Linked DNA regions of Arabidopsis thaliana. The protein of the gene in region 2 interacts with the protein of the main gene of each other region in a pairwise test. Each region holds a gene or a part of one and is shown on either strand. Other genes may lie near its edges.

The links.
Region 1: the proteins of AT2G17190 (region 2) and TED3 interact in binary tests that used the Arabidopsis thaliana proteins (3 or more experiments, as listed by UniProt).
Region 3: the proteins of AT2G17190 (region 2) and PEX12 interact in a two-hybrid assay, tested with the Arabidopsis thaliana proteins (one study listed by BioGRID).

Annotation. Positions count from the first base shown.
Region 1 is NC_003070.9:30,016,601-30,026,184, forward strand, and holds TED3 (Pex2/Pex12 N-terminal domain-containing protein / zinc finger (C3HC4-type RING finger) family protein), read left to right. Parts: upstream 1-3,143; 5' UTR 3,144-3,343; coding exon 3,344-3,433; exon of another isoform or gene 3,434-3,437; intron 3,438-3,505; coding exon 3,506-3,619; intron 3,620-3,692; coding exon 3,693-3,852; intron 3,853-3,928; coding exon 3,929-4,065; intron 4,066-4,165; coding exon 4,166-4,266; intron 4,267-4,481; coding exon 4,482-4,599; exon of another isoform or gene 4,600-5,059; coding exon 5,060-5,226; intron 5,227-5,441; coding exon 5,442-5,556; 3' UTR 5,557-5,886; downstream 5,887-9,584. Other genes in the region: AT1G79780 (Uncharacterized protein family (UPF0497)), read left to right, coding at 41-256; FHY1 (Haloacid dehalogenase-like hydrolase (HAD) superfamily protein), read right to left, coding at 387-507, 585-672, 772-1,032, 1,113-1,164, 1,230-1,305, 1,372-1,586; ENODL7 (early nodulin-like protein 7), read left to right, coding at 1,949-2,153, 2,244-2,617; SGB1 (Major facilitator superfamily protein), read right to left, coding at 5,981-6,166, 6,267-6,381, 6,463-6,551, 6,654-6,727, 6,984-7,127, 7,381-7,534, 7,628-7,721, 8,117-8,229 and 3 more. UniProt on the Arabidopsis thaliana protein: E3 ubiquitin-protein ligase component of a retrotranslocation channel required for peroxisome organization by mediating export of the PEX5 receptor from peroxisomes to the cytosol, thereby promoting PEX5 recycling.
Region 2 is NC_003071.7:7,474,836-7,485,508, forward strand, and holds AT2G17190 (ubiquitin family protein), read right to left. Parts: upstream 6,856-10,673; 5' UTR 6,527-6,855; coding exon 6,298-6,526; intron 5,921-6,297; coding exon 5,174-5,920; intron 4,879-5,173; coding exon 4,676-4,878; intron 4,592-4,675; coding exon 4,478-4,591; intron 4,376-4,477; coding exon 4,320-4,375; intron 3,931-4,319; coding exon 3,902-3,930; intron 3,758-3,901; coding exon 3,668-3,757; intron 3,586-3,667; coding exon 3,437-3,585; 3' UTR 3,430-3,436; intron 3,322-3,429; 3' UTR 3,010-3,321; downstream 1-3,009. Other genes in the region: AT2G17170 (Protein kinase superfamily protein), read left to right, coding at 1-194, 264-399, 720-847, 927-996, 1,066-1,151, 1,248-1,439, 1,523-1,603; DAZ1 (C2H2-like zinc finger protein), read right to left, coding at 2,000-2,812; DSK2 (ubiquitin family protein), read right to left, coding at 7,298-7,446, 7,523-7,606, 7,779-7,807, 8,200-8,252, 8,433-8,546, 8,623-8,855, 9,150-9,914, 10,027-10,255; AT2G17210 (Tetratricopeptide repeat (TPR)-like superfamily protein), read right to left, coding at 10,563-10,673. UniProt on the Arabidopsis thaliana protein: Binds and presumably selects ubiquitin-conjugates for destruction. Prefers multiubiquitin chains rather than single ubiquitins, with a binding affinity for 'Lys-48'-linked ubiquitin chains.
Region 3 is NC_003074.8:1,181,579-1,191,481, reverse strand, and holds PEX12 (peroxin-12), read right to left. Parts: upstream 4,999-9,903; 5' UTR 4,842-4,998; coding exon 4,734-4,841; intron 4,636-4,733; coding exon 4,530-4,635; intron 4,441-4,529; coding exon 4,292-4,440; intron 4,196-4,291; coding exon 3,946-4,195; intron 3,751-3,945; coding exon 3,641-3,750; intron 3,399-3,640; coding exon 3,324-3,398; intron 3,205-3,323; coding exon 3,118-3,204; intron 2,852-3,117; coding exon 2,544-2,851; intron 2,460-2,543; coding exon 2,441-2,459; coding exon of another isoform or gene 2,388-2,440; 3' UTR 1,974-2,387; downstream 1-1,973. Other genes in the region: AT3G04470 (Ankyrin repeat family protein), read left to right, coding at 1-1,167, 1,258-1,641; AT3G04450 (Homeodomain-like superfamily protein), read right to left, coding at 5,218-5,505, 5,640-5,709, 5,806-5,866, 6,009-6,054, 6,134-6,210, 6,303-6,498, 6,590-7,180. UniProt on the Arabidopsis thaliana protein: Component of a retrotranslocation channel required for peroxisome organization by mediating export of the PEX5 receptor from peroxisomes to the cytosol, thereby promoting PEX5 recycling.

The DNA.
Region 1 (9,584 bases), on a different chromosome or scaffold from region 2:
CTTCCGAATGTAACCCATTTGATTTACTGTGTGCACGCAGCTCTTTTGTTATTTGATGATGAGCGCTGGATCAGCCGGTTCCGGAGTTACCAACCTCAACAAAACCGGCATCAGGCACACTCCTCTCCCCGACTTCTGCAAGACCCTTTCTTCTTTCTGCAATCATGTCGCCCTGTCTCTCCTCTTAGTCTTCCTCTCCTTCATCTTCCTCGCTTCCTCTTCCTTCTTTACTGTCCTTGTGCTCTCCACTCCCTAGTCTCAATATTTTCGCTGCTTTATATAATCCAACAAAGACTCTACTTGCAATCCCAAAAACAATGTATTTCTCTTTTGAGTATTTCTCTGATGCAATACATTTAAGATGATGCGTTGTGATGAAATTACAATCATAATTTGGGTACAGAGACGTTGATCCCTAGATCTGAGAGATCCTTAGCGAGCGAATCTGCATTCTCAAAGCATAACCCACCCATCCCTATCTCTATAGCACACTTGACGTTGGTTGGCCTGCGTATCAGACACTCCTTCAGATCAAAATGGTTTCTTTCTTTTAAGTTATAAAGGCATTGAGTTCATGTTATAACCTGTCATCAATGAATATACAGTCGCAAGGTTCAACTCCGAGGTGTCCCACAACCTCGAGGTAGAACTCTGGATCAGGCTTTCTCTTCCCTGAAAGATATAACACATGAGGAGCTTTGTATGTAGTAGGAATGGTTTGGATCTGACAAGCAATAAGTAGTAAAAAGAGGCAAGAGATGTGTGATGTACCAGCAATACAGGAGCAAAACGTCCATGATAAGTAGGCAGAAAGCTTTAACTTGTCTTCGATAATGTTGTACCTATGGAAACACGACAAGAGTAAACAAAGAGACATGAAGCTCCGTTTCAAAGAGTGAAAGGCAAGGGATGGAAACCAGATGGGATAGTTAGTGAAAGCATGAATCTCGAAGTCGTCAGCTGCCAAAGTTTGAAGGAGCTCTTGCATGCCATCTAAGTAGGAGTAACCTGACCTCATGCACTCCTTAAGCCCTGCAATAAAGAGGATTGAAATAGGTACGAGGAAACCCTCTCTCTGTGTATTTACCTATCTATCTATATGGCAATCTCACCTTCCAAATCAAAATCCCTCCCATCTATAAAGAAGTTTCTAGCAAGCTCCTCCTAAAACCAAAAGTCAGAGGAGATAATATGAAGAAAAAAAGAAAGAAAGAGTGGTGGTACCTCACCTCATCAATCAAACCCTTTTCAAATTCGATCCAGACCATCGGGTGCTTGCACTCTAGTAGTTGCTTCATTGGCATTCTGATCCACAACCTCAGTTTATCATTGATGAATCGAGAAATAAATTCGAGGATTTCACTTTCTCACCCGAAGAAGGCCGGAACGTCCTGGTAAAAGGGGTCACGGACGATGGTGTCCATGACGTCGAAGAGGAGAATCGGAAGCTTCCTTTTCCGAGAGATTTCATCACCACTGCTGCTGCCCAGACAGCAAGAACCCGAGGCCCGAACAGGATTCTTCTTCCACATGTTGGGTTTCAGATTGATGAATTCCGCCGATGTGTGCATCGCCGCCGCCGCCATCAGAAACTACCTAGTTTCTAGTTCCGATCATCATCATTTGTAAATGACAACAGGGGAGTCGAAACGCAGCGTTTAGAGAGAAAATCGCAGAGGAGAAGGTGATTGGTCCACGTCAGTAATTAGGATGACGTGGTGAAGAAGAAGTGGCCCATGACTTGCAGCACGAAGGAGAATGAATGAATTAAATAAAAACCGTTTCAAATTCATCTCCACGACTCCTCGGCCTCGGAGAGCTCAACCGCCACTTTCCTTCTCCTTGTTTATATAAAGCAGAGCCAGCCACCTTCATTTTTACACACAACCATCAAAGCTACGTACGAATTCCTCTCAAACATACTATATACTTACAAAAGAACAAGAAGATGATGATGATGATGATGAGATCTACTTGTAATCTAACACTAATGCTCTGCATTTGTGCCCTTGTGGTGGCTTCCATGGCGGCGGAAGGTCCTAGGGATTTCAAGGTTGGAGACGAGTTCGGGTGGAGAGTCCCACTCCAGAATGATTCAGCGGTTTACAGCCACTGGGCCAGCAGCAACCGCTTCCACATCGGTGATTCACTCTGTGAGCTAGCTTGTTCCCAACTTGTGTTTTCTTTTTTTTATCATTCATGATCGGTAATAATTGATTGGTTTCTAATCAAAAATATGTCAGCGTTTGTGTACGACAAGGACTCGGTGATGGAGGTAGACAAATGGGGTTTCTACCACTGCAACGGCAGCGATCCCATTACAGCCTTTGACAATGGAAACAGCACATTCGACCTTGATCGTCCTGGTCTCTTCTACTTCATCAGCGGCTCCAACCAGCACTGCACCAGCGGCCAGCGTCTCATCGTAGAAGTCATGCATATCCACCAACACCATGACCATGACGCTTCCATGCCTCCATCCATGTCGCCTCTTTCTAATTCTGCCTCTCCCTACGCATCCGCATCCGCATCTTCTGCTGCCTCCTCCCTGCCTACGGCTTGTCTTCTTATTCCTCTTTTCTTAACCATTGCTAGCTTTCGTTTCATTTCTTATTAGTCAAATTGTTTCCCTTATAGTTCTTCTCCTCTTTTACTTTTCTTCATCTTTTTGTTTCATTCATCGAACCCTTATGGTATAATCCAATTTATGTTCTTCTCTGACATTTATTATAAGTTTTACTTTTCACTGTTCAAAACAAATCAATCAACAAACTGTGGAAAAAAAATAAAAAATCTATCAACAAACTACACAAGAGCATCGTTATTAATAGTTTCTTAAAACAATTCTTAAGTTAAGAGACAGTCTTATAATAGCTTATAATTAACAAAGTCTCATAAATAAGAGACTTTAATACAATTTTGTTAGATATAAGACATATCTCTTAACTAAGAGTAATGTTAAGAGATCATCAATAAGGATAATTTTATGTCGTTAGTACTAATAGAACCGGGCCCTAGAGTTTGTAACAGATATGGGCCTTTTTATTGCTATGGGCCTATTTTTGGTGATATGGGTCTTTAATACCATATGAGCCTTTTAAGACAAAATAATAATCTGATAAAAGTGGTGAATCAAGAAGACTAAACAATTTTGAAAGAAGAAGAAGAAAGGAGGAGACATGGATGAATCTCTGTGGGTGTGAGTGTGAGACAAAGAGAGAAAACAAACAACGTAGCTGTAGATTGGAAAAGACGGTAAGACCCTCGTCGGGCTTCATCAATAAACAACTTTGCCTTGTTGTCTATCGCCGGAATTACAAACCCTAGCCCTGCTACACCGCCAATGACGCCGTCTACGCCTGCAGACGATGCTTGGATCCGCTCTTACCAGCGCTTGCTTCCTGAATCGCAGTCTCTTCTCGCTTCCCGCCGGGTAGGTTCTGTCTCAGGGATGCTTGTTTGTGTCGTGGCTTGTTTGCTTATTATATGTGGTCTTTGATGGCAGTCAGTTATACCGGTTGCAATCTCTAGAGTGAATCAGTTCGACGCAGCACGACTAGATGTGGAAATGTCAGCCATGTTGAAGGAACAGCTCGTTAAGGTTTTCACTCTGATGAAGGTGAGCAGAGAGCTAACTTGATGCTTTCCTTGGCATTTTATTAAGCCATTTACTTTCTTTGGCATTTTATTAGCCAGGAATGCTCTTTCAATACGAACCAGAGCTTGATGCTTTCCTTGAGTTTCTCATTTGGAGATTCTCTATTTGGGTTGACAAACCCACCCCCGGAAACGCTCTCATGAATCTTAGATACAGAGATGAACGAGGAGTCGTTGCTCAGCACTTGGGGAAAGGTATTTTTTATTTTATTTTCTAAACACTCTTCTTCTGTCACCCTTTTTTTCTAATCACTCTTGTACTCTCGTATAGTCAGAACAGGACTGGAAGGACCCGGACTTACTTCTCCCCAAAAGATTTGGTACTGCGTTGCCTCCGTTGGTGGTCAGTACCTCTTCTCCCGTTTGCAGTCATTTTCTGCTTTCCGTAGATGGGGTGATTCTGAGCAGGTCTGTATGAGGAGCATGGTTTATTCTTTTTTTCTCCCGTTTGCAGTCATCCTCACGCCATCGCTATGGTTGATTCTTTTCTCCTTGTTTTGACTTGTAGAGACCATTGGCAAGGCGACTTTGGACCCTCGTACAACGAATCGAAGGCATCTACAAAGCTGCTTCTTTTCTTAACCTATTGTCATTTCTTTATACGGGAAGGTACAACTTGGTACATGGACTCTTTCATTTCCTCTACTTATCCTGATAAAACCACACTGCAGTGCAGTTACTTCTTATGACCATTTAAAATCTGATTCAGTTCATTGGTAACTTTTGAGTTCACAGTGAAATATCGAAACAAGAACCAAAATCACAAACAGAAATACCTTGATGATTCTCACTTCCGCTACTCTTCTTTTTCTTTCTTGATCCAGGTATAGGAACCTCATTGAAAAAGCTTTAAAAGCTAGGCTTGTCTATAGGAGTCCCCATATGAACCGATCTGTCAGCTTCGAGTACATGAATCGGCAACTTGTGTGGAATGAATTTTCGGTAGGTCTTCTCTGTGTGTTGCTTAACTAGTTCAACATCAATTTAAAAGTTTGGCAACCTGTCAGTTCTGAGTAGCATCCTTGGCTGATGGTTTCTGGCCTATGATTGATACTTGCTGGTCTCGAACATTTTCTTGAATGATAGTATCTATCAGCTTACCTTCACTTTTTCTTTGGAAGAAACACTTTTGCTGCTTGAACTTGAGCTGTTAAAAGCTGAAAACATATTGTGTCCGTATCTGGAATTCTGAACTATGTAGATCCTGTGACTCAACAGTTTCATTGGAGTACAAATACCTTGTCTATGTTCAAAACACTGTATTTGTCGCTTTTTCTCTCTTTCAGATCCTTCAATAGATCAAAACATTCTGTTTAGACTTGCTACCAGAAACGTAATGTTAGGATCTGATTTCCTGGTTCTGTTTTGGCATTCAGCTTTAAATTTGTTTGGTGATATTCAGGAAATGCTTTTGTTGCTTCTCCCGCTGCTCAACTCTTCAGCTGTTAAGAATATTCTTAGTCCATTTGCCAAGGACAAGTCCTCAAGCACTAAAGAGGATACAGTGACTTGCCCTATTTGCCAAGTGGATCCTGCAATTCCGTTTATAGCTCTGCCTTGTCAGCACAGGTATGGTATTTTTCTGTGCAAAAGTTTTGGATCAGAATAAAGTAGTTAACTCTCTCCCCAGACATGTACTATAACTGATTGTACTAGAAGCAAAAAATTTCACATGATTGTGTATCTGACTTTGGAGAAGACACAGAAGTGATTTTATTGACTTGTTGAATTCATAGTATGTGCTGTAGTTGTTACATACATTTAAAAGAATTGACTTGTCGCAGGTACTGTTACTACTGCATAAGGACCCGCTGCGCTTCAGCAGCATCGTTCCGGTGTCTTAGATGTAACGAGCCTGTGGTTGCCATACAACGGGAAGGTGTTTCAAGTGGCAAATGAATGGAGGTGACAAATTGTTGAGTCATGCCACCAAGTCTTGAAGAATAAGCAGATGCAATAGTGGAAGTGTAAAAAGCCAAGGCAAGCAGCCGAAAGCAGAGAAGAATCTGATAGGTGTTTGTTTGCAGACAGACTATACAATAAGGGAACATCATGAATGTGATGCAACAAAAAAATTAGATAGGTGCACTTCTGTACATGAGTTGAGAACCTACCATTGTTGAATGAAGTTTGGTCTTATGTTTATTACAAAATCAGTTGAAACGTTGGCTATACTCGAATGAATAATATCCATTTCCTTACATGTTGTTTACCTACTTACTACTCACTCCTACTTCCATATTAGGTACACGTTACTTGTGTCTCTCCAAGGAAAAAAAGAGAGCCAGAAGAATAATACGAATTCTCAGAATAAAGAGATCAATCACTGGGTGGAAGAGAGCAGACTGATTTCTATCTCTTGTAGGCTCTTTCCTTTAGTCTCAACCACGTTCTTCTGCACAAAGATGACTGCCACCACACAGAAGAACCCAAATATTGCATTTAGAAGCACCGAACCTAGTTGCTCCAGCATTCTCAGAAACAGCAGCCCGACAAAGAAGTTTATAACCTGTTGTAGCGTGTAATTCTCCAAGCTTATTATTATTTCAACATTATCGATTTCCTAAAAAAGTCCACAAAGAGAAAAAAAAAAAAAAAAAAAGGCATACCCAGTGAACGGCAAGACAAACAGCCAACGCAGTTGCTCGAAGTCGACCAGGGCATATCTCAGACAGGAGAAGACTTGGAACAGGACCCGCTCCAGTTGCAAACGACAACACAAACCTGCATTCGTAATCACACCCCTAGTTTATCAAAATAAAACATCCCCCTTTTCCAGTGCTGTTGTTGTGATAGAAAACTTACAGCAGCATTCCTCCAACCGAGAGAAACAAGGTTCCAAAGGGCGAAGGAAGCGAAGTATATGCTATTGCTTGGAGACCCAGCGATACTGCCTGTTAAAGATGATAAACATTTACATCTACATACATGGAGCGTTATTAAATATTAGCTGCGTAAAGTTTGATTCAAATAGCACTTTTTGCCTCAACAATTACCATGCCCGCAAAACTCCCAATAAGCAACACTTTTCTCCCCAGCTTATCCATCAAAACCACAGCAACAGTTGATCCTGTACAAGAGTATGAATGATGCTCACATTCGTTTTAAATACAGATCATCAACATGTTGAAAGGAAAGATTTCAGATCATCATCTTTGTGGTAAGAGGAAGGTTGTTCACTTAAACCAGTGATTAGTTTACTGTTCCTAATGTTGTGTTTGTATTCAGGAAGACTGCATTCACCTACTTGCTTATCTAGCTTATCATGAATATGATGGCCTTTCAAGCCATAGTAGAATGTACAAGAAAAAGTCACATTTCAATACCTAAGAGGTTGCAAACTCCTACACATATGTTTGCAGAGGCTGAAGGTACACCAGCTTTCTTGAAGACAGTTGATGAGAAATAGAACACAGCATTTATCCCAGACAACTGTTGTAAAGCAAAAAGGGTAGATCCAATGAAAACCACTGCAATCGGAGAAAATTTAAACGTAAAAATGAAGGTAATTAAGAGGCTACACATCATCTATATGTATGTTTTTGGCAAATGAAAATGTCATTTTTTTGGCTATGGATCCAGTTTAGCCACCTAACATACCTTCCGTGCAAATGATTCAACTTTTTGATGAATAAAAATCTAGATCTAATATTTCCGTGATATTTGACATCGAACTAATGCCACACATTTTCACCAATCTTGTTGGTTAAAGATCACACATACCTCTAAAACTGCGTCCAAAAAGCAACTCCGACAATTTGGCTGAATCGGCGTCATCTCCCCTATCCGACTTCACTAACTCTGCCATAGCAGCTTTGACGTACGACCCTCCCAATAGCTTCTCAAACACAGCTTCAGCTTCAGCTGCCCTTCCCCTCTACGGTTAAACAGAAAAAGAATCAACCAAAGAAATGGTTTATAAAAATCAAAACGTCTTTAAGAGCTATGCGGGTTAAAATTAGACAGTAACCTTAAAAAGCCACTGAGGACTTTCCACGCAGAGTTCCATGAAGACAGCAAGCATTGCAGCTGGGACTGTGGATATCCAAAAACATATGCGCCACCTACACCAATCAAGAAAGAGAAACCTATTCAACTAGTAATTCAGCCAAGTAGACCAAAGCATGTGATCTGCTAGTAGCTTAGAAACTCCAGGATTTCTTTCCCTACAAAGGCGGTTCTCATGTCAAAATCACTAATGAATTTGCAGCAAAAGATGAGGTGGTTCCTATAGAGTTGCAGCATTTTAACAAGGCACTAGAGATTCACATTGCATATAGGTGGGTTTGGAATAGACAACGGGGATCAAACATGCCACCTAAAGCAAGCAAAAAGGGTGAACTACCATGCGTTTGGAAGTCACAGATGGCACAGAGTTGCAATAATTTCAACCTCGAAGAGTTACAGGCCATATAAGCTGTTAAGTCATCTATTCCTTGAGTTCTTATCAACATCTTACCAGCCCAAGTTATCTTTTGCCGGGATTCCAGCAAACAGCGAACCTAAGAGTCCAATACATGTTGCGATTTGGGTAGAACTCCCATATGTACCTCTCACATAAGCAGGTGACACCTGCAAAGAGAAACTGTGAGTCTTGCTCTAAGTATGAATGTAAGATGTATTGACAAAGCGAGTTAGTGATATTTGTGTGCCCAGAACCTTCTTTTTCACATTAAATAAATCCAATAATGCGAATATAGCTTTCAAGATTGAAGTCCTTATTACAATGAAAATTATGTGCGTCAATGACCTTCTGCATGTTAATGGTTCCAAGTTCAAGTCTTTTTATGTCTGAAATAGACATCTATTTACATTGACTCCAAACATCTTTTGACATAATTAAAATAATATACGCCAAGTAATATTCACATCAAAAGTGAGGAAGAAATTTCATGTAGCAATCCTATCAAAACAAGTGCAGATAAGAAAGACTTCAACGTATATGTCAAGTACCTCAGTGACATAGAGAGCTGTAACAGAAGGACCTATGCCCATCCCAATTCCGACCAAAAACCTTCCCAGGAGCATGCCCATAAGACTCTCAGTTGATGCACTGCAAACAACACACTTGTAAGCACACAGATTTCATGATTACATAAATGGACTCTGGCTAAAAGAGAAACAGGATGAATTAACCTAACTAGTGAGTACACCTTGGGATAAGTGAAAATCACCATGGCAATGACTTGAGACCAAATATGTTCAAATGAGGCCAAATATGTTAAAATCACCACGCTATAACTATAAACATCCAAGCAGGAAATCACTACGAGATAATCCAACTGCATAATGACTAGCCTAGACCACAGGTTCAGCAAATCAACAGGCAAAGATTCGAATCTGAAATGTTCAAGTGCCCACATAGACATTCAACCAAAAATATATATCATACCATAAGAACCTGAAACAAGTACTTAGTCATGTGAACTGAACAGCCTAAACCCCCAATTAACCTGAACAAAACATCACCTCACAGAAGCTCCAACAATCATTGGTAAAGCGCTCAACTGGAAAGCTCTACGGCGCCCAACACCATCAGCTACCAACCCACTGAACAGAGACCCAATAAAGGCGCCGCCTAAGCAGGTGCTAACCACAAGACCTTCATCCATCAGAAAAAGGTTTTTGGAATGATCAGACGGGAGATAGACACAAAGACTGGATAAACAGAAAAACAAGTAAGTTGTCTTCTTGGATAGGTAAGGTACCTTCAGCTATGGTGTTCCCACTAAAGCCAAGGTCAATTGATATGCTTTCGAGAGTTTCATTAACAACCCTGTGTCCAGAAAAGAGGCATGAATTTGCTATTATTCCCAGACATATACATTTATAAAAAACTGAGTCATTGAGGCAAATAGATAATGTTATCGAGTGCTCCAAGAAAAACAATGCATCGAGAAGAAATACAACTTGAGCCTGAAAAATAA
Region 2 (10,673 bases):
ACTGGCCTGTCACAGAGTTCTTCCTCTCCGATATCACCACGGCGACCAATAACTTCAGTTCCGACGAGATCATATCAGAGAACGCAGAAGAATCTTCCAATGTTGTCTACAAAGGTTGTTTATTAGAGAATCTTGGCTTCGTAGCTGTCAAGAGATTCAAGAATACGCCTTGGGATGATCCTGACTACTTCACGGTACCTTTTCTTTGCTTTTAAAGGTTATCAAAGTTTGCAACGTTCATTTGATCTCTTTTGTTTCTTCAGGAAGACGCAAAAACAGCTGGGGAGCTAAAGCACAAGAGACTTGTCAAGTTGTTGGGATATTGCTGCGAGGAAGATGAAGGACTTCTTGTTGCAGAGTTTATGCCAAATGATACTCTTGCTAAGCGTTTATTCCAGGGTATGATTCCTTCTCTTCTTTCGTTTTCAGATATAGAATTGGTGAATATGAGCTTAAGAGTCTGGATTGTTAGTCGATCTGTTCTATAGATGTATGTGCTCTGTTTTGAATCTTGGCAGAGAGGCTGCATTGTTGGTTTTTGTGGCATGATTGTGGGTGTAGAATGGTATAAACGTATCTGAAGATAGAGAGAGTGCATTGTTGTTGGTTTATGTGACATGCTATAGAATGGTGTAAATGTATCTGCTTGTAGAATTGATTGAAACAGAACTTATTAGCATTCTCTGTTTGAGGTTTCTTTTTTCTTTTGTGATGCACAGAGAAGAACATGGAATGGTCAATGAGGTTGCGAGTGGCGTATCATATAGTTGAAGCATTGGATTATTGCAATTCTGTACGTTTTGACGAGTACGATAATCTAAGTGCTTACACTGTTCTGTTTGATAAGGTATGTTAAACAACATTTTTCATGCCTATGCCTTGTCATGTGATCTAAGGATGCTAAACTGTTTTTACTGGTGTTGAAGGATGGTGATGCCTGTCTTTCTAGTTTCGGCTTGGTGAAAGAGATCATCCGTTACAATCGAAGAGAAGGAGGTAACCAATTCGCTCTTGTATCTTCAGACTATTCATATCAGAATGTAATGTTTTATATTCTCATTGTAGGGAACGTGAGGACTGGGAATGTGACATACAGATTTGGTACTATCCTTGTGAATCTGCTAACTGGATTGCAAATTTCTCCGAGCCATGTAAGTAATTCTGTTCAAGCTTGACTTTGTGGAATCCTTGGTTTCTTGCAACACAAGTTACATTTTACTGAGTGGTTATTTATCCTCTGTTTCTAGGCTCCTGAGATGATCAATGGAAAGGATGTCACTGAGCTCATGGATCCAAATCTGAAGGGAAAGTTCTCTACAGAAGAAGCTACTATAGTTTTAAAACTCGCCTCTGAATGTTTGCAGTGGAAGGGTTATATAGAGAATGGCATCACTAAAAAGCTTGTTGCAACACTTAAAGCCTTGCAGGCTAAAAAAGAAGTAAGGAGGCTTACTGTTACAATAATTTCATCCCTGAAGATTTTTCGCATTCATGTTATAAAACCAAATCTTTTTGCTTGTAGATTTCATCTTCTGAAATGCATGAAGTAACAAAGCAGCACGATGTGGCATCATCTTCGAGTCAACAACAACTTCCACCCTGAATCTGCTAATAGCTTCAACAAAGTAACTCTTCTCGAAGCAACATTTTTAGGGAAGAAGAATCTTGATTTTCTCACTTAGTGTACTGACACTGTGAAGAAACACCATAATCCATGCATGATACATATACATGTATGATCAAACAATATAAACTTTTTACATAGGGAAAAAGATTCAACGTTTTAAACTTCATAAAGCTAATTTCTTGAATATTGGACATTTAGTAAATAACTCTATTTGCATTTCATAAACTAATTAACTTATATATAGAATACAATACCACAATCCTATACGTTCATCATACAAAGTATCACACATATATACAGAGAGAGTTTTTTGTTAATTAAGAGAAAGAACCAAATACCCAATAAATATATAAAACCTTAAGTTATCATATATCAAAGTCCTAACCTAAGATCCAAGGAACAACCTAACGTTGTGTCTGAAGATGTCGCCGCAGGAACATTAAGATCAATGCCCCTGACTTGGTTCTCTTCCTGATCTTTCTCCCAATGACATCTCATGTGACCTCCTAACGCTTGACCACTGGAGAACACTCTAGAACAGATGTTACATCGATGATTCATCCCCGAGACCAACTTCACACTCTTGCCCTTATCTTGATCAACGATCTCTTGAGGAGGTGGAGGAGGAGGATCTTCGGTTATGTTTTTATTGGCGAAACATCCTTTGACGTCTTTATGTGTTGCTCTATGTCCGCCTAACGCTTGATGTGACCCAAACACTTTCTTACAACCATCACACTCAAACCGTTCCTCAACTTCACTTGAACGGGTTGGGACATCACCATTAGCCATCATTAGTAAACAGGAGGCTATGTTATGCTCTTCCTCAGATGGATCCCAACTCGAGGATGATGACGCAGCGTTTGAGTTGATCCTACGTTTGAAGTTAGAAGGAGGGTTGATGCCACGCCACTGACGTTCAGGGTGACATCTCATGTGTCCAAAGAGTGCCTTCAGTGACCCGAATTGTTTACCACATTCAGTACATGGTCGTGCGATTTGTGAAGCATCAGGGTCCGGTTGCGTGACCGGTTTAGGCCTTGGAGAAGACGAAGAAGAACCGACTTCGTTGTTGGTGAGTTTAGTACGTTTTCTTCTTGGGTTTTGATTGTAACTAGGAAGAGTTACATTGGAGGAAGCAAATGGGATATCGGAATTGGGATCGGAGTTTGAAGTGTTCGACATTATTATTGAGTCTCTTACTAGAGAGAAGACAGAAAAACTAAAAGAGAGGAAAAAAAAAAGTAGAAGAGTGGGAGTTATGGTTGGTTAAGTAGAAGAAGAACAAGTTAGTTTTCATCGACGGTTTCTTAGCAGTTACTTCTCCCTGTTTTGTCGGATTTACATTTCTTTTTTTGTTTTCCTCATAAGTTTTGTTTTTCTTTCAATTATTATTGTATTTATCTTTGTTATTCGAATGAAAAACTTAACGCTCAATCACAAATTATCAACGTCACTACAGCTATATTTAATAAGTAAAATGGAGATAAGAAAACGTAAATGTAACCATTCCACATTTCGAAATCAACTTCTACAGATGTACGAGGTAACAACTTCAAATAGAATCTGAAAGATAACAGACGACCCAAAGTATGTAAAAAAGGTTGTGGGGATTGGGTAAAGAGGAAAGAAGATGACCATTGAAAACAAATAGTGTATCGATGAGCGGCTTTTCTATCCACAAGTTCGCGATCCTATCATAAATGTAGTTATACGAATTCCATAAATTAGATTACTGAAAGAAAACACATTGTTTATTCTATAATTGAGAAGCCAGAGTGGAGTGATATCAGTTCACGAACCTGTATGTTACTGGCCAATACTCCCCAAGAGTCGTTCTACAGCAGCGTTAACGTTACCATTGGTTGCAAGCAAAGCCCTTATGTTCTCTGCTCTGTCGTAGAATCCCATTTCTTGCAACTGTTGCAACTGAGTCGCAAATCGCTCTTCAGGAGGAACTGGAATCAAATAGACATGTTTCAGTGGAACCATCTCAATAGATATATAAGAAATCAAAGTATAGCCCCTAGTGAATCTAACCATTGGGTTGGTTTGTGCCACTTAGGCCGCCAGCACCAAGGCTGCCAAACATATTCATCAATAAATCTAGTCCTCCGTTATTGGCTGTCCCTATAAATATTTCCATAGTAGTGATTTACTCAATAAGCAACGTAATGAATATACGATTAAAGTAAAGCAAAAGAACAAAAAAAAGCACACTGTCTAAGTGAACTAGTTGAAGCCTTCATACTTCAATTACAGATAATATAGTACCTGTCGCAGCACCAGTTTGCGTAGGATCCCTACAAAGAAGATGGATTGGGAACATGAATAGAGGTTGATGGAAATCAAGATCACTGATATCAAATGTTAAAGGAAAGAACCAAAAAAGAACGAAAATTTTTATGCTCCTATTCAAGTTTATTTCAAGGACTAAAATACTTTACAGCCGTTGATAAAGGTCACTAATGATCAGCCCAGTAAAACATACAAGAGTTGCTGCATTACTAATGATTCAACCCATTTATTACTTAATATAAGATAGTTCACCACCGAGAGAATTACCTGGTTAGCTAGTGACACTATTTTCTAAACACAGATCAACCCAAAATCCTATTATGATATATAAAGGACATTACCTACTCAACTAATGTTCCAACTAAAGAAAACAGAAAAGGGTATCCAAACTTACTGGCCAGCCGTGTTCCTATTCTGAGAGAAAAGTGATTGTTGTAGAGACATCATTTGCTAAAAAGACCAAAAAACAATAGAAAACATTAGGTCGGAGAAATTTGACTACTGAATGATATAAAAATAATTATCTGGAGAGACAACATGGGCCCAACTAACCTGCATCATCTCGGGAGAGCTAAACTGGCGAAGGAAATCAGGGTTCTGCATCATTTCCCTCAACTGAGGATTCATATCTAGCATGCTTCGGAGTTGTGGGTTAAGACTCATAAGCTGGAAATGAAGGAAATATTAAAATATTAAAGACAGCCTCACAATAGCTACAATGTCTAAAATTCAGATTACTGAAGGCGCTACCTGATTCATGTACTGTGGATTGGAAAGTACGCTTTGCATCATCTGCGACATAGCGGGGTTTTGCAGTATTTGGCTCAATTGAGAAGCATCTGGAGTCGCACCAAGAGGTGAGTCCGCTCCCAGCATACCGAGTCCACCAAGGCCTCCAAGCCCACCAAGACCACCAAGTCCAGCATTTGTCCTTCCAGGGGCAGTTGTCTGGCCTGTCAAGTAGCCCCACAATATGTTCTAAAATCTTTAGTGCATTACGAGTAACAGTTAAACTAGAAACAAACAGCCAAGAAACTTATTCATAGACAAACTAGTCATAACAACAAACTGTGAGAACATGAACTCACCAATTATTACTATAATCAATACTATTCCTGACCAGTGTGGTAAACATAAACTTTCACTTCTTAAAAACAAGCCACTCTTGCTTTTATATTTAATATTTCAACCTTAAACTACAAGTAAAATCCCATATGAAATTAAGAGGATGAGAATACAGTTTCTTACCAGCCGTGGCACCCCAAGGATTAGGAAGTGGATTTGCATTAGGTGTACCCGTTTCAGCATTCGGTGCCGAAATATTATTAGAAGTATCGCTTCCTTGTGTAGTAACCCCCTGGTTTCCCAGAAGAGCAGCAAATGGATTAGAGCTCGTATTGTTTCCAGCATTCTCGGACATAGTGGTAGCATTCATTAACGGTTCCTGGACATTTTCATACATACGCCTAAGCATGTTAAATCCCTCAGGCATAGACTCAATATTACTCATAGCCCTATCAGTATTTCTCATCATTTCACGCATAAGCTCTGGGTTTCTCGCCGCTTCTAGAGTTTGACGAAGGATGCTTGGGTCATTGAGCACATGACCAAGCTCAGGATTGCGATCTACAAGCTCACGCATTTGAGGGTTATTCATAATCATACTCCTCATAAATTCTGGGTTGTTCATAAGATTCTGGATGGCTGGAGTATTCATCATCTCTCTAATCATGTTAGGGTTCTGAGCTAGTTGTTGCTGTGCCTGCTCAAGATCAGGAAGACCAGATCCAAATAATCCAGCCATAGCATTTCCACCACCCAAAGGATTAAATCCAAGGCCAGGGAACAAAGATTCACCTCCTCCGAGGTTTGAGCTATCATTTGAACCAACCGCTTGAGGAGCAGTGGTTTGGTTTCCAGCATTTGCAGCGGGAGCAGAAGGAGAAGAAGGCACAAAACCTCGAACCATATGAACGGTGTGATCAGCCTGCAAACCTATATATAAAATGGTCCACAGAGAAAGGAAACATTGAGGCTCATGATGCAAAACAATAAAACGTGGAAACTATCCAACACAATCATATCAACAACAGCCATTGATGGAGAAAATATACATCCCAAGAAGATACATGATCATGAGAACATTAGGAACTCTAAGAATGGTATGAATCAATTATCGTATCACTAACTACATCTCCTTATTCTTCCCATAGAAGGATTAAGCATACATCAAAACTCATAAAATCATCCATGCTTCTGTAAAAACCTAACATAAATCCAATGTTCCAACCCCCTAGAAACCCTATGAGATTTTCAGTCAAATTAAAGCAACGGAACAACAGAAATGAAACACGAAATGATCAGAAAATTACCATAGCTGAGGAGAGTCTGATCGTCTTTGAGGATACGTCCCTTGTAAATCAAACGCTGCTGATTTGCCGGCACATCGCTGTTCTGCGCAATTAACTCTTTGAAAGACTCCACCGTGGAATCGAGGCTCGTCGTCACACTAAATTTCGTGCCATTGGAGCATCTGACGTTCACGGCAACAGCTACGCCTTCAGCAGTCAGCGGCTGCCTCGAATCTGCTTCACCACCCATTCTAATTTCAGATCCTAGTTCAACAAATCGCGAAATTGATCGGAGAATCAAAAGCTCTAAACCTAGAAGAAAAAATCGTAGAAGAAGATTTGAGGAGACTCGAAGCTCTAATAAGTCGGTTCTGAAGATTTCTTGAGGAAAGGGATATAAATTATTTTTGGTCGAATAACAAATGAGACTGCAGAAAATTAAAGAGTTATTTGGCCCCGAACGGCCAATTAAATGAGAATCCAGAAATGACTTGCGCTTCAGAGAACGTATCGACGACTCTTACTGGGTAAGATTGGGCCGGGTCGGGTCTAAATTGAGGCATTTGGTATATAGTTCAGGAAGGAATTGGCTGTAACTTGAATCTAATTGAAGATGATGAATCAACTAATTGGATATTCCTTTGCAACATGCCACTTCTCTCTTTGGGCAATTTGGTTTAACCTTTGAACCGGATCAGAAGGAACCAAAAATTTAATGGGTTCAATTTCACTTTGATGTCTATAAACATTTACAGATGTTGTATGTTGTAACAACTTGAAATAAGTTATCAAAGATAAACACCCAAGATATATAGGTTTAAGGGTAGTTAAAGACGAAGAGTGACCACTGATAACAAATACCGTATTGATGCGGCTTTTCTATCAACAAAGTTCACGATCCTATCATATATAAATTTTTATGAATTCGATGAATATATCATTACTGAAAAACACACATTCAAGCTGTTTATTCTATAACTGAGAAGCCAGATGGAGAGACATCAGTTCATGAACCTGTATGCTACTGTCCGATACTCCCCAAGAGTCGTTCTACAGCAGCGTTAACGTTACCATTGGTTGCAAGCAACGCCCTAATGTTCTCTGCTCTGTCATAGAATCCCATTTCCTGCAACTGTTGCAATTGAGTAGCGTACCGCTCTTCAGGAGGAACTGGAATCAAACAGACAAGTTTCAGTGGAACCATCACAACAGATGCGTAAGCTAAAAAAAATTTGTAGTCTCTAACCATTGGATTGGTTCGTGCCACTCAGGCCGCCAGCACCAAGACTGCCAAACATATTCATCAATAAATCCAGCCCCCCGTTATTTCCTGTCCCCATCAGTATTGTCATTCTACTATTAACTTGTATACGATACAATATCTGCTAAAATAAAACATACATGAAAGCAAAGAGAACTAAAGAGTAGCTGCTATACTACGTAACATAACTAAACCCTTTATACTACTGTAGAATAAATACATATAATATCTTTAAGAGTACCTGTGGCAGCACCAGTTTGCCCCGCATCCCTACAGAGAAGATAGATTTGGGAACATGAATGCGGATTGATGAAAATCAAAATATGGAGATTAACACACATAGCTTATGCTAAAAGGCATAATCAAAAACAAACAAAATGTTATGAGCCCTATTCAAGTGTATTCCAACGATTAAAATGCTTTATTTATAGCCTCTTTGATAGATGTTACTAGTGATCAGCCCAGTAAATCATACAAGAGTTGCTGCATTAGTCATGGTTCAATCCTTTTCTTATTATAGAGATCGTTCACAACCAATCTTTTTAGCTAGTTACAACATTGTCTAAACACTAAACAACCCAAAAAACAATATGTAAAGGACATGTAAATGCTCAACTTTGTTTAAGCAAATCCAAACAACGAAGGGTTTTAACAAAACTTACTGGCTGGCTGTATTTCTATTCTGAGATAGTGATTGCTGTAGAGTCATCATTTGCTGAAGACCAAAAAACAATAGAAAACATTAGGTTTAAGAAACTTCTTTACTTTGTCCCAAAAAAAAAAAAGAAAAGAAACTTCTTTACTTGAAAATAGCTTAGATACAAAGAAATGTTTCTTTTGAGAGACTACCATGTTAAAAATTCATATGCATACAGACAATAGGGGACAAACTAACCTGCATCATCTCCGGAGAACTAAACTGACGAAGGAAATCTGGGTTCTGCATCATTTCCCTCAACTGAGGATTCGAATCTAGCATGCTTCGGAGTTGTGGGTTAAGACTCATAAGCTGGAATCAAGGGAAAACAATTAATATATGTTCACAATGGTAAAAGGCTCTTAAGTTCAGATCATTCTAGGCCTACCTGATTCATGTATTGTGGATTGGAAAATACGCTTTGCATCATCTGCGATATGGCTGGGTTTTGCAATAACTGGCTCAATTGAGAAGCATCTGGAGTCGCACCAAGAGGTGAATCCGCTCCAAGCATACCGAGTCCACCAAGGCCTCCAAGGCTTCCAAGACCACCAAGGCCACCAAGTCCAGGGCTCCTCGCATCCCCACCAACATTTGTCCTTCCAGGGGCAGTTGTCTGACCTGTCAAGTAGCCCACAATATGTTCAATTATATTTAGTGTATTATGAGTAAATGTTAAATTAGAAACAATAAGCCAAGAAAATCATATGCAAAAACTACACATAACAACAAATTGTGGTAACTACACTAACTCACCAATTTACTATACACAATATTGTTCCTGAAGCAGAGCAGTGAACAGTAACGTCCATTTCTTATAAACAAGCCACTTTTTCATTTATAAAATATTACTGCATCCTTCAAAAGACAAATAAAATCGACAGGAGATTAGAAGATGAAAATGCAGTTACTTACCACCTGTAGCACCCCAAGGATTAGGAAGTGGATTTGCATTCGGAATAGTCCCCGTTCCAGCATTTGGTGTCGAAGAATTATTAGAAGCATCACTTCCTTGCGTAGTGACCCCCTGGTTTCCCAACAGAGCAGCAAATGGATTGGAGCCTGTATTGTTTCCAGCATTCCCGGACATAGTGGTAGCATTCATTAACGGTTCCTGGACATTTTCATACATACGCCTAAGCATGTTAAATCCCTCAGGCATAGACTCAATATTACTCATAGCCCTATCAGTATTCCGCATCATTTCACGCATAAGCTCTGGGTTTCTTGCCGCTTCTAGAGTTTGACGAAGGATGCTTGGGTCATTGAGCACATGACCAAGCTCAGGATTGCGATCTACAAGCTCACGCATTTGAGGGTTATTCATAATCATACTCCTCATAAACTCTGGGTTGTTCATAAGGTTCTGGATGGCTGGAGTATTCATCATATCTCTAATCATGTTAGGGTTTTGAGCTAGTTGTTGCTGTGTCTGCACAAGATCCGGAAGACCAGCTCCAAATAACCCAGACATAGCATTTCCACCACCCAGAGGATTAAATCCAAGCCCAGGGAACAAAGATTCCCCAGGACTCGCTCCTCCTAGATTCGAGCTATTATCTGAACCAACCCCTCGAGTAACACTAGGTGCAGTGGTTTGGCTTGCGGCCGGAGCAGGAGGTGGTGCTGAAGAAGGTGCAGAGCCTCTAACCATATGAATGGTGTGATCAGCCTGCAAACCTAGGTATAACATGTTCCACAGAGAATAGAATCCACAAGAATTTCAATCAATAAGGATCTACGAGAACAACAAAAGTACCCACACGAATAAATCAGAAACGATGAAGATTACCATAGCTGAGGAGAGTTTGATCGTCCTTGAGGATACGACCCTTGTAAATCAAGCGCTGCTGATTAGCTGGAACATCGCTGCTCTGAGCCACCAACTCTTTGAAAGACTCCACCGTTGAATCGAGACTCGTCTTCACACTAAATTTCGTGCCATTAGAGCACCTGATGTTCACAGCCACAGCTTCTCCTTCACCACTCTGCGGCTGACTTGAATCTCCCTCTCCACCCATTTCTAATTTCGGATCCTAATACTTAAAATAATCGCAGAGCTCGCGAAATCGATCAGGAGCCCTAACCCTAGAAAAATTCGATAGAGATTTAGAAGACTCAAAAGCTCTGAGTCGGTTCGGTAGATTGCTTGACGAAATGGATCGAAGAGAACAAAACAAGAAGACTTCTGCTTCAGAGAACGGATCGAAGGGACCGGGTCGGGTCAAAAACAAAACCCGGTTCGTTCCTTTTCTCACCCGGATCCGAGAATACATACGGCATCGTATAATAATATCATTTATCTGCTTCGTTGAGGCCCAAAGGGCTTTAGTTTATCGGTCCTGCAGTATCGTCTAACTTCATGCATCTATGAAGACTCTGAACGACATCATTTAATTCAGAATCACTCTGGCTTAACTTGTCTCCAGCCAAAAACCT
Region 3 (9,903 bases), on a different chromosome or scaffold from region 2:
CAGCCTCTTGCTTGGGCTAAATGGTGTAGGAGACTTCCTCGGATCATTGCGTCAGCATCTCGGATCCGTGATTTTTACATGGAGATCACTTTTCATTTTGAGAGCTCGGTCATTCCGTTTATTGGCCGCATTGCTCCTTCCGATACTTACAGGATATGGAAACGTGGTTCAAATCTCCGTGCTGATATGACTCTTGCTGGTTTTGATGGGTTTAAAATCCAACGGTCAGATCAAACATTTCTCTTTCTAGGGGATGGTTACTCGTCTGAAGATGGTAAAATGTCCCTATCTCCGGGCTCGTTGATTGTTCTTTCGCATAAGGAAAAAGAAATGACAAATGCTTTGGAAGGAGCTGGTGCGCAACCAACAGATGCTGAGGTTGCTCATGAAGTGGCTTTGATGTCTCAGACTAATATGTATAGACCTGGAATCGATGTAACTCAAGCTGAGCTGGTTTCTCATTTGAATTGGAGACGGCAAGAGAGAACCGAGATGGTTGGGAATTGGAAAGCAAAAGTTTACGATATGCTTCATGTGATGGTGAGTGTCAAATCTAGACGGGTTCCCGGTGCAATGACTGATGAAGAGCTCTTTGCGGTTGATGAAGAGCGAACTGCTGTAACAAATGGTGCAGAGACCGACGGCTTTGAAGACGTACTAACACCTGAGGAAAGACTCCAATTGAATTCCGCGCTTCAGACTGGAAATTCCGATGCCATTGAAGATGAAGAGTGTGAAGTTACTGATCAACAGGAAAACGGAGCTCTCAAGGATAAGAAGGGCTGGTTTGGTTGGAATAAGAAAGGCTCAAACACTGAAGATACAAAGCTCAAGAAAGGCTCAAAGTCTGCGCCAGAAGACGGGAACCAGAAAGGGAAAAGCCAGAAATCTTCGATGGTATCTGATCATGCAAATGAGGATCATGGAGACGCAAAGAAAGGAAAGGAGAAGAAGAAGAAGAAGAAAGGTGTTGCCGGAGATGAGGTTAAGCGTGAGAGTGAATACAAGAAAGGACTAAGACCGGTCTTGTGGTTAACACCGGACTTTCCTCTTACGACAGACGAGCTTTTACCGCTCCTTGACATATTAGCTAACAAGGTTAAAGCCGTTAGGAGACTCAGAGAGCTTCTCACAACTAAACTTCCGCTAGGCACATTCCCTGTAAAGGTATAAATCTTTTTCAATTCGTAAATTGTATGTTACTGATATGATTGAATCACTCTCTAGGGTTTATTCTTATCGGTAATTTATGTGCAGCTCGCCATTCCCATTATTCCTACGGTTCGAGTTGTTGTTACTTTCACCAAATTTGAAGAACTTCAGGCAGCTGAGGAGGAGTTCTCAACACCTCCTTCTAGTCCGGTATTTCATGATGCAAAGTCGTCTTCTTCAGAGAACTCATCACCATCATGGATCTCATGGATGAGAAGTGGCAAATCAAGTGACAATGATAGTAACCGTTACAAAGACGAGGCTGACCCTTTCTTGATACCTTCAGATTACAAATGGATCGATTCAGCTGAGAAGAAACGTCGAATGAAAGCTAAGAAAGCTAAGAGCAGGAGGAAGAAACAAGCGGCTACAAAAGCCGCTGGTGCTAGTGACTCGGGTACCCGTTCAAATCATGTAGCCGAAGAATGATGAGTCCGGAGTAACTGAATCATTGCATTCAGGTTTTGCTTTGGCTGGATTCAAAGATGTTCACTTTTTGAGCCATCATTGTGGCCTTGAGAAAAGGCTTTTGGTAGTGTTGTTTATTGCTCTTGTATGTCATGTTATTTCTGAAATTCCTTTAACAAACATCTTTGTTCTCTCTTAATGATTAATCCTTTTTTTCTATTCGGTTCGATTTTGACTCCTCTTACTCCCCCAGCATTCCTAAACCATTTCTGAATCGACTTTGAAATTTTTGACATTAATCAGAAAACTTTTTCGGTTCAGGAGCAAAAGTGCAAAGCTAATTCAATAATGAGCTATGAAAGTTTGAACTCCAATCATCTCTTCCATCCTTTTCTTTATAAATTTGATCAGTATATAAATTTTATTTTTCCATCCTGAACAATAATATCATCCCCCATTGTGCAATAGACAACAATTTCGAAGCTGAAACTAAGAAAGAAAAAAGTAACCATTTGTCTGCCTTCTCTGTTTTAATCAGAATCAGCTTTGATTAGGATTAACACAGCTTTCTTTCAATCCAAGAAGCACTTGATCCCAGACTTGGTGAGCTCTAAATGAAAGCTTATCCATATATATATATAAAATCAATTGGGGTATTAGTGTCTCACTTGGCAGTCTTTTAGCTCTTCTGGTTCAGACTCTAACTTGCATGGGAGAACGATGATGGAACTCTCACTGTTGGCTTAAAACCATTAAATAGACTGGTCCTAAGTGTCCTGAAACAACCTCCTAATCTGATCAACGCTGGCTGGAATCAATGTCACCGGACATCGCTTGTACTGTGTGATTACCATAGAAGACGGATATAAGCTAATACCAAGGTTGGGGTTTGGGAATAGAGAGTAATGATTTGGAGAACTCACCTTTGAAACATACTTAAATACGCAAGAATAGCAGAAAACAAATCCAGAGACAGTGACAACTGATGGATTTGCACGTTTTTGCAAGCATAAAGCACAGAGGGATCTGTCTGGAGGTAGAGGGATTCCTTCTTTGGCCATCTGTTACAGAAAAACAAAAACTTTGACAAAGTCGACTGAGTGATGTTTACATAAGTTTCAGATAATGCTACCTGATTGATTACCTTTGGGGCTGGAGGAGGTGGAGGTGGAGGGTACACTGTTGGAGCTGATAATCTCTCTTCAGCGGATTGATACCACCATTCCATCATCTACAAAACCAAAAACACACGAAAATGAGCTAGATGTTTAGGTTCAACTAAATGATTATGCGATGAAAAATCTACCGAGAGTCAAAAACGCCATAAGTATAGCAATAAGCTTTATGGATTTAGCGGTGGCTGTAGCATACAAAATCTAATCTAATGTAATTTAAGCTTAGGACCTTCATTTCCTAAAGGAACCTACTTCTGCTGGAAGCTTTTAAGACAGTGAAATAAGAGAAGTAACATAAACTGGGACATTTATGGATACTTACTTTGAAGATAAAAACTGCTGCAATTAGACCGGTTTGGGCATAGTCAAGCACAGCATATGAGCAGCTAAGAAGTGCCCCTTGCACCGTCTAATTCAATATTCAAAACAATACTGTCAGACGTTGGATCACTAAAGTGTAAGCAGTAGTAGGAATCAGCCTATCTCATTCCTTAGGTTACATGAAGTTTAAGAAAAGTGAAATCATACTTTTAACCATGGAGGACCACGAAGTCTCTCACGCTCATGATTCCGAATCTTTGAAATCCTTGAGGATGTATCCATCTATCTTGGCATCAAAAAAGGTAAAGACGAAGAAAAAAAGTGTGTTAAGACATAACACATGTAAATTTACCACTTTGAAAGGTTTTTATGGGTCAGTCAATGATGGTATAACATCTTGCAGCAAGATGTATGTAGAATTTTAAATAATACCATCCAACAAAGCCAAAGCGCCCTAATTCTATGGGGTGCATAGTAAGATAATGGTGACACGAAATTTCAACCAGAAAGGAGGAAGTTAATACCAGTTCTTGCCCTGTAGCTCTACAAACTTGAATCCCAAGAGCTTGTAGCCCAAGAGAATAAAATCCAGTAGCGTCCAGCAGATATAAGAGCTGGTAAGTGAACGATAATCCTACACAGAGGATCCCATATAAGCTCATTATAAATGATACAGATCAAATAAAATTCTCCATGCCAATGAAACTCAGAGATAGAAGTCTACGCACGAAGCTAATCAGTGTAAACTAAGAAGTGCTCGTAATTATGTTAAAGAATCATCAGCTACTATGCAGTCGAAATGTCGATGCTCACATAAATCCACAATTACCTTCACTTGATGCATGTATCCAAGGATAGCAGACAGCTATAAACTTTTTAATTTTGGTAGCTAATTGTACTCGAACAGAAAGCTCTTCATTCCCACTAGGCTCTCTTGAAACAATTGAATCATCCCCTGTGAAGAAGTCAGCTTCATCAAATCCTTGATCCTCTGCACCCCATAAACTTTCCCGGAGCCTAGCCTCTCTTTCTTTATTATATATAGCATGCAATTTTGACTTGAAATACGGTAACACAACCTAGAAAAAGGCAGTAACCAAGCTTAAAGGCATAAGCTTTATGCTTTCAACATATACGCATTTACAAAGTTATAGCATTTAGGAAAGAGTCAGTACCAGAAACACAACAGAAAGGATTCTCTGACGCTTCTCTAAACCAGAATGTTGAACTTCTTCGCTAGAATCCTTCCTGGCACTGTCTTTCCTCAATCTCAATCTCGCTGATTTCCTCCTTAAACCATACAATGATTCAGCAAAGGAACCATCTGAAACAATTCACAAACCTCTAACTGTTATAAGCAAAAAAGTTCCAGTACACTCTCACACAAAACCTAAAACAGAATCCAGAAGCTACCTGTGGTTCGTAAGCTGTGTCCTTCAAGAATAAGCATCAGAGCAGCAAAGAATTCATCCTCATAGTCTAAAATCTTATGGAGAAACGATCGTCTCAAAGCAAAAACCTAAAAAATCACGAAACAGCAAACAAATATAAGAATCATACAGATAAGTACCAAATTTCAAAATCGAAAAGAGACGTAGGTAGAGAAGGGCATTATACGCCGAGGGAATAGGTGAGAGCGGCGCGAAGGCTAGCAGGAAGTTGCTGAGCAGCAGCCATCTCAAAGAAGGTGGGGCGTGTGCCTTCACCTCCCACCTGAAACAACATCTTCTTCCTCCTCCTCTAATCTCTTCTTCTAGTTAGTGATAGATAGTTTAATAAAGGAGAGACCTTTTGTTTTTGACTGAGAGATTGAGACCTTTAGCTTCTCCAGAATTGCAGAAATTGGTAAAGAAGATAGAACAGACGAAGAAAAGACGCATTTCGAGAGATCATTATTAATTACGTCATAAATAAGGATGTTCTTTAGCCACGTCATCTAAATTGCTGACTCATCAGCCGACAACATTCCAACTCGACAGTGATTTGTCCACGTCATCTCCATTAAGAAGAAATTTTCATTTTCTTGCTGCTGTGATATTTTCAATTTTATATACACAATTACATATGTTTGCAACATCTTTGGATCATACTCATGAGATGTCTAATCTTCTCTAACCCGTTTTCTATTACTAGTCCCAGAAGTAGATTCACTTTGATCCATTGTGCTAGAACCATTCTGCAGTTTCTGAGTTATTGATGGTTCTGAATTGGTTGCTTTATGGAGGAAAGGTTGTGAAAGGTTTGGTGATGGAGCTGAAGGGTCAGCTTCTGGCATTGATGATGAGGAAGTAGAGTCTTTTTTGTTCTCTTGCATCTTCTGTTGTTTCTCAATCATCATCTGAAGATACCGACCTTGTTCTTCGATTTGTAACTGCAGTGATCTTTGGATCTGCATTGTATTAAGACCAATATAAGATCAAAATCACCAGCTAAAACCAAAAACTAAGAAATCAGACAAATGAAGAGGAAAGGACACTGTTTTGTTTTATAAAAGCTTCTTTTAGGCAGTTTGAATTATTATACCTCAAGTTGCTCGTGGAGTTGTTTTTGAACTTTCATCTGTAACCGGAGAGCTTCAGTGATTTCAATGCTCCTGAAGAAGAATAAAAAAAAAAAATCTTAGATATGAAGAAATATTATCCTAGGTGATACTTAGTCTGTTCTGACAGAGAAGTAAAATGTTCCTTACGTCTTCAAGTCAAGAGATTTGATATCTTCAATGGTTTTCAAATTCTTTACTAGAGGTTCTTCTGTCCAAGAAGAAAAGCTGATTATGTATAAAGACGTGTTTCATCACACAAGAGTCTTTTAAATGCCATTATGTTTCCAAAGTATAATAAGCTTATGTGAAATATTGAGAAGACAGTTTGAATCCTTAGATGCCTCAAGTACCTGTATCTTTGGAAAGCTCTGGTTTATACCTTGCAGTTCTGTATTTCTGGACAAGCCAATAATATAAAGACGTTTAAGATGAGCTGTAAGCATACAAACCGAAAACATAGATGGAGAATAGTAACCTGCAAATGGCTTTTGACATGATAAACGGTCAACCCAGGGCTATTGATGAGCTTCAAAACAGCCTTAGGGGTGGCTCCTGTGGTTTGAAATTATAAGCCAAGAGAATAATAATAAGTTGTTCAGCTAAATTTTGCAGGCATGAGAAGGAAAAAAAAAGGGCATACGCACGTTCACTACCACCGAGCTGATTGATAGCTTCGACAAATGCTTCATGAAGTTCTGGTGTCCAACGCATTCTTTGCTTAGATGTCATTGAACTAGCTGGTGGGCTTTTGGCATTAAACGGCTCCATTGATGGATCCACCTGATGCTGATTTCTAAAGACGATCTCTTGCCTTGCTATATCAGAAGACTGTGTTTCTATCTGTAAGACATTATCAGAGTCAGTCTTAATAGAAGAATCATATTTAGCTGAAATAAGCGTAGAGATTCATATTTAGCTGAAAGAAACGAACCTTTGAATATAGATTGAGTACATTAGGATCACCTAGAAGCTCCGACCAATTTGGTTCAAGACTATCATCAGAGATCAACTGATCCGCCCAGTCTGGCCATTCGCATTTTGAAAGCACTTCCTTGGATGAAACCATAGTTCTGCTGCTCGCTGCTTGTGGATCTGGAACAGGAAAATCGAAGAAGCCCCGAATCTGGTCTGAAGACCAAGTCATAATTTTCTGTTCTTGAGGTTGATTGATCAATTGCAAGGAATGTGTTTCCACAGGGCATTCCTGCCTCTGCCCTTCACCAGAGACGTGAGCAACAGTAATTCTGTCTCTTGGCACGGTAGAAACAGATGGCCGTGCCTGGGAGGAAGATGAAACATAGACACCATTGCAGAATCCGGAAGAAGATGAAAACAAATTCCCACCAGAACTACCACCAGAGACCAGAGGAAACACCTGACAGGGGACGGGGTTGTTATTCATCGATTCCTGTCCTGATGAAACACACAAAGTGTTAGGAAAGTTATTGTGGTATCTCTCTTCTAGAATTGTAAAAGATGAAGATATAGCGGATGGAAAACCAAAATCGCTAGCAAGTGTCATTGAACAAGTGCAGTATTGAGAAGATAACAATAGATATCAGAGACTTAGCACAAAAGGGCTATTTAGCTTTACAAGGAGTGTTACATAGAAGCAATATGAGAACTCACAATCACTAAGTTATATATACAGAAAATGACTCTGTATGAGTGAAAAAATTCCATTCGCCTAGTTAATATCCTATATGTATTTCCCTTTCAAAACTTTCCAAAGGAATATTCTTCACTTTTTGTTTTGCCTTTGGTCATAAAAAAAACTCTTAGCTTTCATTCACTTTGTTTCCCTAAAGTTCTTCAACATATACCGCAAGAGGAAAGATACAAACGAACAAGAAGAGACTCTTTGATTCTCTATCCAAAACTAAACTTGTTTCAGCCATTAACCAAGAGAAACTATCATGGAGGTGACAGATGCATAAAAATCAAACAGAAACAAGATATAGAATCAAATGCAACGGGAAGGATATTAACACGCAATTTGGCTAAAGAGGAAAGCAATATGGCTTTTCATAAACCACAGGGACGTGCAAGGATGAGAGTCACCATGAGCACATTATATCATTCTAATCAACTCTTATCTAATAGAAACCTCATCACTTCAAGGAACAAGAATCTTACAGAGAAACCAAGTCGAAAAAGACAAAGAAAAAAAAACAAATTCGTTTACAAAATGACTTGACCATTGAATGAAACGATTCTAAAGATCAATAACATGTTGACATCTCATGATTGTTCTTTCCATGAAAAAGAACAAACCTTTAGCTTATAAAAACCAAAAACAAAACATAATCTATAGTGAACCAATTCCAATCAACTGGAAACAATAATATAACTGGGCAGATTCAGCAAAGCTAACCACTTTTAAGTTGAGCTAAAGTTCAATCAACAAATCAAAGGGACAAGTAAATGAGTGTTTATTACTTCCTCAATCACAAGAAAATATCTAGTCACCTAAATTCGCAGAACTAAACTTGATTATTCTAAAAACCTCGTAAAACTATCAGCCAAGTCTTTACATAACTCAGCCAAGATGTATGGTGGTTTCTAAATCAAGTGGAGTCTGCGATACTACCGCCTCCACAAATTCTTCTTTCTCAAGCAGCTGCATAACAACGGAATATAAAAATATACTCCTATAATCTTTGATTATCTTCTGACATTTCACACACATCATCCAATGCTTCGTTTTGGTAAAATCAACAGGGTTATAAATGCATTTTGATTTGCTATCTTCTGATATTCACATCACAACAGTTTAAACATTTTTGATCAATTTGATTTATATGCTAACGCATACTCTTCTCTTCCTACAACTTTAGCAATCTAAGTGAAACAATGTTCCATATACAAAGAATGGATTCAACCCCATAACTGGTGCTGGTAATCTTAACCATGTTAACATATAACAGATCTTGCGTAATAGATGGAAAACTTACATGAGATCAACAAGCATCACTATATGGTTCAACAAAAAACCGGAAGCCTTTACATTACATGTATTGAATAGACAGATAGCTGATCATTAGTACACGGAGAAGAACCATACCCAGGATAAAATCTGAGTTTCACTGTAGAAACCAAAACCATCATTAGTACATACCTCCTCGTGATCTTTGGTTCTCCCTTGTCGCTTAAAAAATCCACCACTGTACCATAAGAAGGTCCATTCAGATCATCATTTAGGCAATGATATGGTCTTCTTACATCATTACTCCAAAATAGCAAAGGGTCGAAAAACACTTGCCAAGTTCGACTTACAGCTGAGAATCGCTCCTGATAGTGAACATAAAGGGGAAGAAAATCTGATGGCTAACTTGGAACATCAGCTAGACAAACACGGATGTGTAGACAATCTACAATGACAAGTAGACAGATTAGAAAATGAAACAAAGCTTCCGCATCTAACAAACCGATGAAGAGATAAGCAAGTAACAGAAGCTAAACTGAAGAGTACAAACTCGAGGAACTAAGAAAAAAAGTTCAAAGTTTTGGAAATTGAATGAAGCAGCACACTTACAGTTTCTCCATCTGTCACCGTGACTGCAGAACTTGCTTGTCTCCCCATGAGATCAGTCTCAACTAAAATCTACACAGTAGACAAAAAGAAAGAAAAGATGAAAAACTTTGAAGACACTAAACAATGTTCAACACATACATCTAAAGCAGCGAGCTTTGCTTCTCTACTATAGAGCTAAAGGTCTCAAACTTGACCAGATGAAACAACCAATGAAATCAAAAGGGTATAGCTTTTTGAAGAGATTACCTCTCTATTTCCGAGTGGAATTTTGACAGAAACCCATCGCCGACGGAGTCAGCGTCGTTGGTATCATCAGGCCTAACTAGAGCTCTGACACTGAATTTACCGGCGCCACTTCCGGAGAGAAGAGAGAGCGAGCACAATTTTCCTCCTCCGCCGCTGCTGCGTTCGCCGGAGTGAAAACGAGGGAAATTCCGGGAACGGCAAAGCCTGCTCCGGCGAACTGGCCAGAAGTGTGGAGTACTACTATGAAGTGCGTTACTGGGACTCGTCAGCATCTTCTTCTTCTTTGAGAGAGAGAGAGAGAGAGAGAGTGTGTGTGAGAAAGAGAGAGACTTTATCCGTTCCTTGCAGACGCGGGAGCTTCTCCTGTGACTCTGTGTGAGTTTCCAGGCGTAGCTAGTCTTGTTTCCGGTTTCAAATTGAACCGGGTTTTAATTTCCCAATTGATATTTTCAGAACCAATCATT